Linked DNA regions of Schizosaccharomyces pombe. The protein of the gene in region 1 interacts with the protein of each later gene in a biochemical or structural test. Each region holds a gene or a part of one and is shown on either strand. Other genes may lie near its edges. The genes, in order: pkl1 and gtb1.

Region 1 (5,806 bases):
GTTATTGTCATGATTTGTATACTGTAGATGTGTAAAATAGATCTGTATTAAGTGAAGAAGTACCAACTTTTAGTTGCCTATCAATACAGCACTACTTTAGTATCCAATGTCGCTCATTGGATACATTCTGTAACAATATAAAACCTTCAGTGAATTGGATCTTCTTCAGTGCTTACGTCTATAACATAGTCACCGGTTTCGTGAACTTCAGCTTCATAGTCGGCAGCACTGTACAAATCTCCTTTCTGCATTAAACCGGCTTGTTCTTCATGAGAATTCAATAACTCAGAAATAGTTTTTAGGAGATTTTCTATCGCTTCGTTTACTAGAGAACCAAAGCTACCATCCACTTTCCTTTCACTTAGACTATCAAGGCAAGATAGTAAAACGCCTTTCTCAAAAATGGCAGACGTTTCTAAGTCGGATTCACTTAGTGAGCTAAGCTGAAGTTTGAAAAGCTCCAAAAAGGAAGCGTAAAACTCTGGTTCAGTTTCCGCCAATTCATAAGACTGCAATAGCAAACTCAACATATTCTTCCAATGCTCCAAAGCACCATAGTGGGAGAGAATAGAGTAGCTCAGAAAGGAAATTGATAATTCCGCTAATGCAGAGATGGGATTGTCATTCCACACGCTTTGGACGAGTCTTTGAAACAAAAACGATTTATCAATTGCTTGCTTAGACCGTTCAGGTCCAGTGGCAGACGGCGACCAGCTTCGTCGTAAATTGAATTCAGCGAAATTTAATAGTTTATCGTCTCGAGAGGGTTTTGAGAATTCCGGATCTTGTGACACAAGATCAGCGTTGACATACGTTGAAGTGTCTAAGTAGAAAAATTCACCTTCAGTAGCAAAAATTCTTTGAAGATCTTGAACTGTAATGAACTTCGTCAACAAGTCCCAATCCTTTGTTGATTCAAAGGGATAAAAGTTTTCGTCATATAATACATCAAGCTTCTGCAAAGAAGCTGTTTCAGATTTCGAATCAAAGTCGATACTATATTTCATATCTTCATGGACCATAGCAAAAACTCCAGAAATTAATCCAGCAGGGTATGTTGGAGACCAAGTGAAAAGATGAATTCCACCTTTTACATTTCGAATACCTGGAAGCTTACTAGCTTCATATGAACTCTGATCAATGCCAACGTAATATGTATTTAACCATCCGACAAACTCTATACTCATTATATACAAAACAAATTATTCCATATCTTCATTTATTTTGTCTATTAAGTTGAATTTAAGATCGTAGACATTGGTCAAAGCTAAGTTTCAGGCTACTGATTTAAGAGTTATAGCGATGGATATTATAAAAAACACCATAATACATTAAAGGTTTTTGGGTGTCAGCAATTCTACACTACGCTATAATATACATCGTTTCGTATCACTAAATATCGCCTGCTAGAATAGTAGTTAAGATCTATTTATTCATAGTTACGGATAAAATTCCATCTATCTAAATATATTCCAATTGATATAAATTAATCGAGACATTTTAAATAAAGCTACAACTGAACCTCGCTCCTTTAGTTTAGTCGTTAGCTAGATCGCTGACTGGACACTATTAGACTTCTTTAAAGTAATAAAAGTAACAATTGTTAGTTAAACGTACAACCTACCGCTACATGGCAAATCGTAATATAAGCTCACCGAAATTTTAGGTAGTGTTACACATTTCCGCGGACTTTGTAATTCACTTAAAGACACGTAAGGATACACTGAATTTGTTTGAGATATTCCAAAAATCAATCAGGGAATGTGGAATTACATAATATAAATAATATTACTTAAGTACTATTTGTTAATGGAATCAATTGTATTCTATACACCATTGATTAATAACATAGATGGATATACACGAGAGGCTTGAGACATATAATGATGCGTAGCATTGGAATTTGCTTAACAATTTAACACTCATATTTAACCCACGTAAAATAGTTTTACGTTTCTTAAAGCATCTGCTAATCAAAATCTGTTTTGTCGAGCTGATAAATTCGTGTTTATAGTATTGGGAAGAATTACTCTATAAAACGCTCTTTTTAACTTATAGATGGTAATTGAGGTAAGAGGTACTTCTGAGTAACTTATCTTATTAATGCGAAAGAATACAAAGGACATTTCCATAAACACAGGGTATAAACGACAGGAAGATGCTTTAAACACAGATTCTGAGGACTTAATATATCGACCAAAAAAAATTATTAAAACAAATCAAGAGGATGCAGTACATGATTTGAAATACGAAAATTTCGTATCAAAAAATCACGTTTTACAAAGCGACATTAATGGCAAGAAGAGGGACAGCAATCGAGACAAGGCCGCTGTAGTCACAGCGCCAATTGCTTCTACTCATGAATCTAATTACGAAGAATCTGTTTCCAAATTTAAAGAGAGTTGGCTGCCTCAATTAAAAGATCTCATTGAATCTCATAAAACAATATGCGAATCAACGTTAGCCTACGAGAGTGATCAAGCTATGGCTTCTTCTAATACATTAAAGAGAATAAAAGATTTAAAAAGCAAACCAAAAAATATTATACAGTTAGAAAGGTTGCATATGCTATCTAATGGCGAACATCGTTTATTATCGAAAGACGAAACCGATGATATTGAGTCTGCATACTTGAACCTTAGATCACATCTTCAGGTACAAGAACAGGTTTACGCTGAAAAGGATCATGAATATTCGTTACAACTTCAATCATACAGAGAGGCAGCAGAAAAGGCCAAGCAAGATAGTAAGAATACATGTCTTTATGCTGACTTTATTTGATTACTAACTATTTTAAAGTTTTAGAAACAAAAGAAAATCTTTCCTCTGAATTATCGATATCGAATATCCAGTTGAAGGAAGCCAAGGAAAGGTTAGAAGCTGCGAATGCAAGCTACCAAAAGCTACGTCGAGAACACAAAGAACTTGCACTTTATCATGAAAAGAAAACACATTCTCTAGTTTGTAATCTAAATGGTGAACGAAAATCCTTTGGGGATTTTGTTGAGAACGAAGTAAAGTCATATAAACATGAATATGCCAATATTTGTGAATCACTTCGGAGAGCTCTAGTGCTGATACAAGGTTCTTGTACTGAGAAAATTTTGCGTTTTAAAGAAAAAATTCTGGACTTATTAGAAATGAAACAACAAGAAGAAAATGATCGAATATCCCACATTGAATATGAGAATGATTTAACGGTTAAAAAGCTTAAAAGGAGAATATCTGAGTTGGAAATGGCAGTAAAAGAATATGAATCGGAAAAATCATACTCGGAAAAAGAATATGAAGAAAAAATCTCCTCTCTGCGTATAGAATTAGAAGACAAGTTAGCTGAAATTGACATGCTTCGAAATAAACTGTTAAAGGAAGAGCATAAACACCACTCTACATCTGAAAAACTTGAAGAACTTTCTAAATATGTTGCAAGTATTCAAGATAAAGAAAGAAATAATGGCCAGAACGCATTGGAACTACAAGCTCGAATCCAACAGCTGGAACGGAGAAATGAAGATATGTATAATAAACTGTTAGCAGAAGAAATAATCAGACGAAAGCTGCATAACGACATTCAAGAACTAAAGGGAAATATTCGAGTTTTTTGTAGGGTTAGACCACTACTCCCAAGTGAAGAATCCGAATATTGCATTGCTGATGTTTTACAATTTCCAGATAAAGACGCACTAGAGCCACAAAAACTTATTCTTAAAGGGCCTAATGTTGAATCATCACTCGGGCATACTTATGATCGTAATTATGAATTTTCCTTTGATCGAGTCTTTGCTCCTGAAAGCGATAACTCGTCCGTTTTTGAGGAAATATCACAGTTAATTCAAAGCGCTATTGATGGTTATAATGTTAGTATATTTGCATATGGACAAACAGGATCGGGTAAGACGTACACAATGTCGTCACAAGACGGTATGATAGCGATGTCAATTAAGCATATATTTAATTATCTATCAACCTTGAGGGAGAAAGGGTGGGTGTATAAATTGAGAGGTCAGTTTTTGGAAATTTACAATGAAACGATTTATGATCTATTAAACAAAGCGGAAATGTTGAAAAATCCTAAGCACGATATTCATCATGATGAAAAGGAAAGACGAACAACAGTGGATAACGTTTCAATAATTGATTTTAATGAAGAAGATACTGTTTACAAGATGCTAAATCGAGCAGGAGAAAATCGATTTATAGCAGCGACAAAAGCAAATGAACGGTCTTCAAGATCACACACTGTTTTCATGCTGTATATAGATGGTGAAAATTCTAGAACCAAACAAATATGTAAAGGTACGCTAAATCTAGTTGATTTGGCAGGTTCTGAGCGGTTAAGTTACAGTCAGGCAGTTGGGGATAGACTACGAGAAACGCAAGCTATTAATAAAAGTCTCAGCTGTCTTGGCGATGTTATCCATGCACTTGGAAATGCCTCAAATAGTACCACGAAGGAAAAGTCTCACATACCATACCGAAATTCAAAGGTGAGTATTAGAATGAAAAGTTCTTTACGAAACACGTTCTTTAACTGTCAAAGTGGCTACTTATTTGCTTTGCAGCAGTGTGTAAAGTCTATATTGAAAGCATTTTTGTACTAACCAGACATTAGCTAACTTATTTGTTAAAATATTCACTTGGAAAAGGTGCCAAAACCCTGATGTTTGTTAATGTGTCTCCTTTAAAGTCGCAATTCATGGATACATTAAATAGTCTGCGATTTGCAACAAAAGTCAATGATACAAAAGTAGGTTCTATTAAACATTATAAACGTTAAGCTTATTTTAGAGTAAAAAATGTTTACCAAAGCATTTAAGATGCTGGGTTTGGTGGAGCAGCTGCTGCTTGTGCTTGAATGATGGCACCTTTAACTTTGCTGAATTCTTCTTGTGAGATTTTTGTTTGATTTTCGAGGCGTGCACTATAATTATGAATTAATAAAATGACATACGCAATTCGATAATACAAATGAAGAAGTACAACTCGCATTTTTAGAGAGCGATTTTAACCTCAAGGAAATTCTTCTTTTTCAAATTTCAACAAACATACATTTCTTTATTAATGAAATCCAATCTTGTTTTAACGTTGGTCTTTGCTTCCTCATGACTTTGCTTTACAAGGGTAGGACCGATTTGCTTATATATATTTGAGTCAGGAGCCACTTTTTCCAATTCCTAATTCGCATTAACAAAACAATTCTAATATAAATGGAGAAAATAGGGAAAATAGTAATTTTTGTGGCCTTAACGTACATTGAGGACAGTAGTGTTTTCTTGTAATTGGGTTTCCAACTTTTTTAAACTTTCGACATAAGTGCTTAGTTCTTGGGAATTTCGTTAATTATTTAATTCGATGCAGAAGGTTTTGATTTACCTGTTTGTAGGTTCTGATATTTTTTAGCTAATTCCTCCATTTCTATTCCTGTGTAAAAAGACGTAAAAGGATAGTAGGTAAAGAGACATTCTACTTACCTTGAAAGTCAGCTGAAATAGCGAAGTTCGTTGAAATTCTATATTATGAACAAAATATATTTTAATTGTGTGATATGATTGATTTTATGACTATATTGGATAAAAACGAGAAATAAATAAAACCGAATTAATTTAAACAGAGAAATGTAAGCTACACTAGGAAATCGATTTATGAATGAGTGAATGAAGGTGTTGCTGAAATTTTGAGTAAAGACTCACTGTTTTGATACAACAAAACTACTTGGTTCAGTATATAAATTAGTGAATTGCAAACCTTTTTTTTGAATAAAGGATATGAAAAATATTGTTTTAGTTCACTTCTCAACTGCATCCTT
Region 2 (5,426 bases), on another chromosome or scaffold:
TGGTTTCCAAATTGATTGCAAGGGAATCCAAGGATGATAAATCCTCTATCCTTGTATTTCTGATACAACGCCTCAAGACCTTTGTATTGAGGAGTGAATCCACATTTGCTCGCTGTATTGACAACAAGGACCACTTTACCCTTCAAGTTGCTGAAAGGAAAAGGATTTCCATCCTTGTCCTTAGGAGCCAAGTCGTAGAAATGAGACATTTTAACTTACAAAACTCAATACTAATAGAATGAGTAGGTTGAAAGTAAGGTGTAGCGCGGCTGACCGTCCTACTTATGTTTCCAGCTGACCTTATTTCATAATGACATCAGACCTTAGTTTGGGTCAACACGATCTTTTAACAAGAGAAATTTACGTAAAATTAATAAAAATTCCAAGGAAGAAAAGTCGGATCGCATTTATCAAAAGAAATCTTATTTATTTAATCAGTCTCACATTCTTTTTCCTTTGTTTGCTGCTTTTAAAGTTAAAAAAAGGATATGTCGCAGTATACTGCCATTGTCTTTTGTCAACATACCACCAAAATGACAGAAATTTTTGCTGCTATTTAGTAAAAATATTTCAAATTTCGTATTTGTAAAGGTTATGCATAGAATGGCTGAGACTCATACTTAAACAGTATAGGTATCTAAACATTGTATGGGGCGATTGTAGCAGCAAACGATTAAGTAGTTTGCGTTAGTTACAACACCTAGTAATGGTTTGCTACCTTTTGTTTAAAATAATAGTAGACGAGATTGCCAATGGCCGATGTTGTTTATCTTAAAGTTGAAAGTGAAGCGAAACCTTTTTCTAACTTTAAGAGTGGGATTTCTTCCATCCAAAAGAATATGCACTGCAACAAGATATAGGACACAGGCAAATTATTTGACAAAAACAAGGAACCGTATAACTACTTTTTTACTTTAATCTACAAATAAATTAGTAGGATGTAGAAAAAGGTATCAGTGATAGATTATTTATGTATTATCTTAAAAGTATTGTTTTTTGCCCTTTGAAGGGCAAAAAGCAAAAAGGATCAAAATTATGCTCCAGCAGTGACTTGAACACTGGGCCTCTTGCTTACTAGGCAAGCGCTCTACCACTGAGCTACAAGAGCTAGTTGGAATCATTTGCTAAAAGGTATATATATATGCATAACTATTAAGAAATGCTCAGTATTTTTTTGAAATAGAAAATGTTGATATTCGGTTTCTATTATTAAGTTTTAAATTCCAAACATTGTAAATATGTCGTCGTTCTTTACATTCTTTTTTTAATAAATCTTGGTTTAAGTTAAAACCCAATTTTACAAGCTCGCAACTTTGTTGTTAATAAAAAAAAATGTTACACCTGCTAAATAAATATTAAAATCAAACTGTTGTTGTGTGGTATTACCTTATTGAGCTTAATTATAATTTCAGTAAAAATTTATGTTCAATTTTTTTTTTTACTTTCAATTAATTTATTTATTTATTAATTTGTAAAATATTTAGACCTTTGCCAAATAATTATTTGTTAATTTTTCATTTTCTACAATCTGTATTAATTAAGATAAAATTGTCTTCAAAAATACTTTTAGTTTTTGGAAAATCATTTGTTTCAGTGTTTGAGTATCCACATGAATTGTCTAATTTTATATCACTATTATTTTTTTATTCGAACACTCATAAATTGTGTCTATTGTGTTACTTTCAATTTTAATATTTACATTCAAAGTTGCATATATTTTTTACGAAATAATGTACTAAATGATTTAGAAATATTTAGATACGATAGTAATCAATACTAAATTTTATGACACATTCTAAATTCACTTACTTTGGCTTTCTAATTTCCTGTTAGAAAAATTGTCATTCCTAATTGAATTTTGCAGCAATGCTCGAATCAGCTCCAAGGTTGATAAATTTATAGTCAAGAAATATGTAATTATTTATAATAATCTAGTCTAGTTGACCTGGAAAATGTTTGCTTTTCTTACTACCAACCTTCTCTTATCGACCTACAGTTCACCCAAGCACAGCGAAATACCTCAAGATACCCTTCTTTTGAAAACCACCTATTTCAGCAAAAAATCTTTCGCGGTTGTACTTTTAAGTAAGAAGCAAACATCAAAGATTGTTTGCTCCTTCATTGTTTAATCATGGGCAGAGAAATCATTACGTTACAAGCTGGTCAATGTGGTAATCAAAGTATGTTCACCTATACTACTATTAATCAAATCGAAATTCTAATTACTCACAAACTTGTCTAGTTGGTTCACAATTCTGGCAACAGTTGTGTTTGGAACATGGCATTGGGCCTGATGGCACGCTAGAAAGTTTCGCAACTGAGGGTGTTGATCGAAAAGACGTTTTTTTCTACCAGGTTGGTTTATTGATACACTTTAAAGTTTCAACATGTTAACTCATTTTAGTCTGATGATACTAGATACATTCCTAGAGCCATTTTGATTGATCTGGAACCAAGAGTATGTTATCGCATCCTTTTATTAGTATTTGCTGAAATATTCAAGTGACTAATGTCCTCTTTACCTTAGGTGGTCAACAATATTCTAAGCGACACCTACGGCAGCCTTTATAATCCCGAAAATATACTTATTACCAAAAATGGAGGAGGTGCTGGCAATAATTGGGCTAATGGTTATTCGCATGCTGAGAGGATTTTTGAAGATATAATGGACATGATAGATCGTGAAGCTGATGGAAGTGATTCTCTAGAGGGTTTCTCGCTTTTACATTCTATCGCTGGTGGAACGGGTTCTGGGCTGGGCTCTTTCTTGCTTGAGAGATTAAACGATCGTTATCCCAAGAAGATTATCCAAACTTATTCAGTATTCCCTAATAGTCAATCCGTATCAGATGTTGTGGTTCAGCCTTACAACAGTCTTCTTGCATTGAAGCGACTGACATTGAATGCTGATTCTGTTGTTGTGTTGGACAATGCAGCACTTGCTCATATTGCTGCTGATCGGTTACATACTCAGAACCCTACGTTTCATCAACAAAACCAATTGGTAATTGATTTATATTAGGTCTTTTCATCAACTAACTATTCTAGGTTTCAACTGTTATGTCTGCCAGTACAACAACTTTAAGATATCCTGGCTACATGAACAACGATCTTGTCAGTATAATAGCTTCATTAATTCCAAGTCCTCGCTGTCACTTTTTACTAACCTCATACACTCCTTTTACCAATCAGCAAGTGGAAGAAGCAAAGGCCATTCGGAAAACTACCGTGCTTGATGTGATGAGAAGGTTGTTGTTGCCTAAAAACCAGATGGTTTCCGTCAATCCTAGCAAAAAGAGTTGCTTTATTAGTATTTTGGATATCATTCAAGGAGAAGCAGATCCGGCGGACGTTCACAAATCCTTGCTTCGCATAAGAGAACGACGATACGCTTCATTCATTCCTTGGGGACCAGCAAGTATACAAGTTGCACTTTCTAAAAAGTCGCCCTATATAAAAACGAACCACCGTGTTAGTGGACTTATGCTTGCAAATCACACTAGTATTGCCTCTGTATGTTTCTGCAAATTTTTTTTTGAGACATTTAATACTAATCTTTGTAGTTATTCAAGAGAACACTAGATCAATATGATCGTTTGCGGAAACGAAATGCCTTTTTAGAGCAATATAAAAAGGAGGCTATTTTCGAAGATGATCTTAACGAATTCGATTCTTCTCGGTAAGTATCTTGTCTTATAATTTCATATTTTGAGTTAATTTACTAATGTATTTGACAGCGACGTCGTTGCCGACTTGATCAATGAATACGAAGCTTGTGAAGATCCCAATTATTTATCTCTTTAAAAAATCCTTCATAGTTTACGATGTCAAAGCAGACTTAAAATATAAAATTAATTCTCCTATCCTAGTCCTACTTCATAATCTATGAAATTCTGCTCAGCAAAGCATTTTTACGCCTTTCTAAAAGAATGGCTTCAACATCGTCTCTAGTTGGTATTTGCTCAATGACAAGAGGTTTCCAATCTTGTTCAACTTCATCACCAAGGTTCTCAAGATGTTTATGTTGTTGTTCTTCAATCTTTGCCTCAAAATCTTCTAATAGACTCTCTTGTGCTGGCGGTATGTAACCAAAGTACCAGGCGTCTAACCTTCTTTTCTGCATCTCCTGTTTGCGCTGTCTTTCCGGTATAAAACTCATATCAGCTTCAAAAAGTTCCTTAACGCCAGGTAACTCTCGAGCTCTTCCGTAATAACGATAATCGTCTATATCACTGATTTGTTCTCCTTCATCCTCAAATAGCTTTGCTTTATTATACAGATAATTAATCCCACCCAGATCACGAATTTGTACCTCCCATTCGTGTTTTTCACGCATCAATCGATTAATTGCATCGTTCAAATCTCGAATTTGATATTCAGGCAACGTTGCTATTCATGGTTAGAATACACAGAAATGATAAAAGCGGAATCAAGTTTAGCAAGTTAATTAAATTTGCTAATAAAACAATCTAGGACGTACCACTTTGAATTCGAGAGATCTTGCGAGAGATATCTTTTACTACACTAGCCCTATGTTTTTCACATATCGGCACAGACTTAATGCTTTTTATATCCTTGGGTCTCTTTTCCGTTGGTTTGCTGCCCACTACATACTATAACAAAGGGGTTAGTGACTGACGCTTAGGTTCTCATGCATATTCGTATGAACCTTACTTTCGCTGATGACATTGTAAAATTAAATGAAAATGATAGACTTGGTAATTAAAAAAATAGAGAAGGAAAGGCTCATTAAAATTTGACACAGAAAATAAATAATATAGACAAGTTTTATGGTATTTATCGAAATCAAGGCAAACCCAACACTTAATTAATTGACCTTCAACAGCCAATTCTTATTTAAGTACTTGAAAATTTGCTCAAGTTCCACCGATTGTGAAGACAAGCAAAAAACTTATAAGCAAGAAATTGAATGCATACAAGTAGTTATTTCGTGTAAGAAACACTTTATAAAACGGAAAAGAACAGCCAAAGTGAATAAGCTTATTGAAGCGCAACAAGCTTCTTAATTCATGGATAACGAAGTCCTCTTCTAAAAAAAGTACTAGTCTAAATAGTAACTAAGTATTTTATGTTCACTACAATTAAAGGATGATATTATTGCATAAATGGTCCCTTTCAAAATGATTACCACTTTTAATCCATCGTATTCAATATACTGTCAAGAATTAGGCAATTGTTGATGAAGTAGGTAACATCAATCATTTGGAAAAGTTCATTTCATCTCTTTGGTATCGGCTTTAACCTAAAAAAGAGTTGTTTATAAGAGATTAGCAGAACGATTTATAAGTATACAGTTGATTTTTTGAATATCTTACAAAGACTTAAAATTAAACAATCGTTGAGACCGTCAAAATCGTTAAAACTGACTTACGAATTATTCTAATAATCACTATATTCAATCAACG

What was found.
Region 2: the proteins of pkl1 (region 1) and gtb1 interact in a test that uses a peptide from one of them, tested with the Schizosaccharomyces pombe proteins (one study listed by BioGRID).

What each region holds. Positions count from the first base shown.
Region 1 is NC_003424.3:3,436,875-3,442,680, forward strand, and holds pkl1 (kinesin-14 family minus-end directed microtubule motor Pkl1), read left to right. Parts: upstream 1-2,015; 5' UTR 2,016-2,058; coding exon 2,059-2,070; intron 2,071-2,108; exon of another isoform or gene 2,109-2,112; coding exon 2,113-2,746; intron 2,747-2,799; coding exon 2,800-4,487; intron 4,488-4,612; coding exon 4,613-4,777; 3' UTR 4,778-4,812; coding exon of another isoform or gene 4,813-4,921; 3' UTR 4,922-5,049; coding exon of another isoform or gene 5,050-5,174; 3' UTR 5,175-5,243; downstream 5,244-5,806. Other genes in the region: U5 snRNP-associated protein Aar2, read right to left, coding at 147-1,187; pfd6 (prefoldin subunit 6), read right to left, coding at 4,813-4,921, 5,050-5,174, 5,253-5,323, 5,374-5,413.
Region 2 is NC_003423.3:2,789,339-2,794,764, forward strand, and holds gtb1 (gamma-tubulin Gtb1), read left to right. Parts: upstream 1-2,012; 5' UTR 2,013-2,131; coding exon 2,132-2,180; exon of another isoform or gene 2,181-2,242; coding exon 2,243-2,355; exon of another isoform or gene 2,356-2,404; coding exon 2,405-2,458; exon of another isoform or gene 2,459-2,527; coding exon 2,528-3,004; exon of another isoform or gene 3,005-3,048; coding exon 3,049-3,513; intron 3,514-3,563; coding exon 3,564-3,679; intron 3,680-3,737; coding exon 3,738-3,804; 3' UTR 3,805-3,883; coding exon of another isoform or gene 3,884-4,389; 3' UTR 4,390-4,480; coding exon of another isoform or gene 4,481-4,613; 3' UTR 4,614-4,674; coding exon of another isoform or gene 4,675-4,689; 3' UTR 4,690-4,846; downstream 4,847-5,426. Other genes in the region: H2O2 scavenger glutathione peroxidase Gpx1, read right to left, coding at 1-209; protein Cwf12, read right to left, coding at 3,884-4,389, 4,481-4,613, 4,675-4,689. UniProt on the Schizosaccharomyces pombe protein: Tubulin is the major constituent of microtubules. The gamma chain is found at microtubule organizing centers (MTOC) such as the spindle poles or the centrosome, suggesting that it is involved in the minus-end nucleation of microtubule assembly.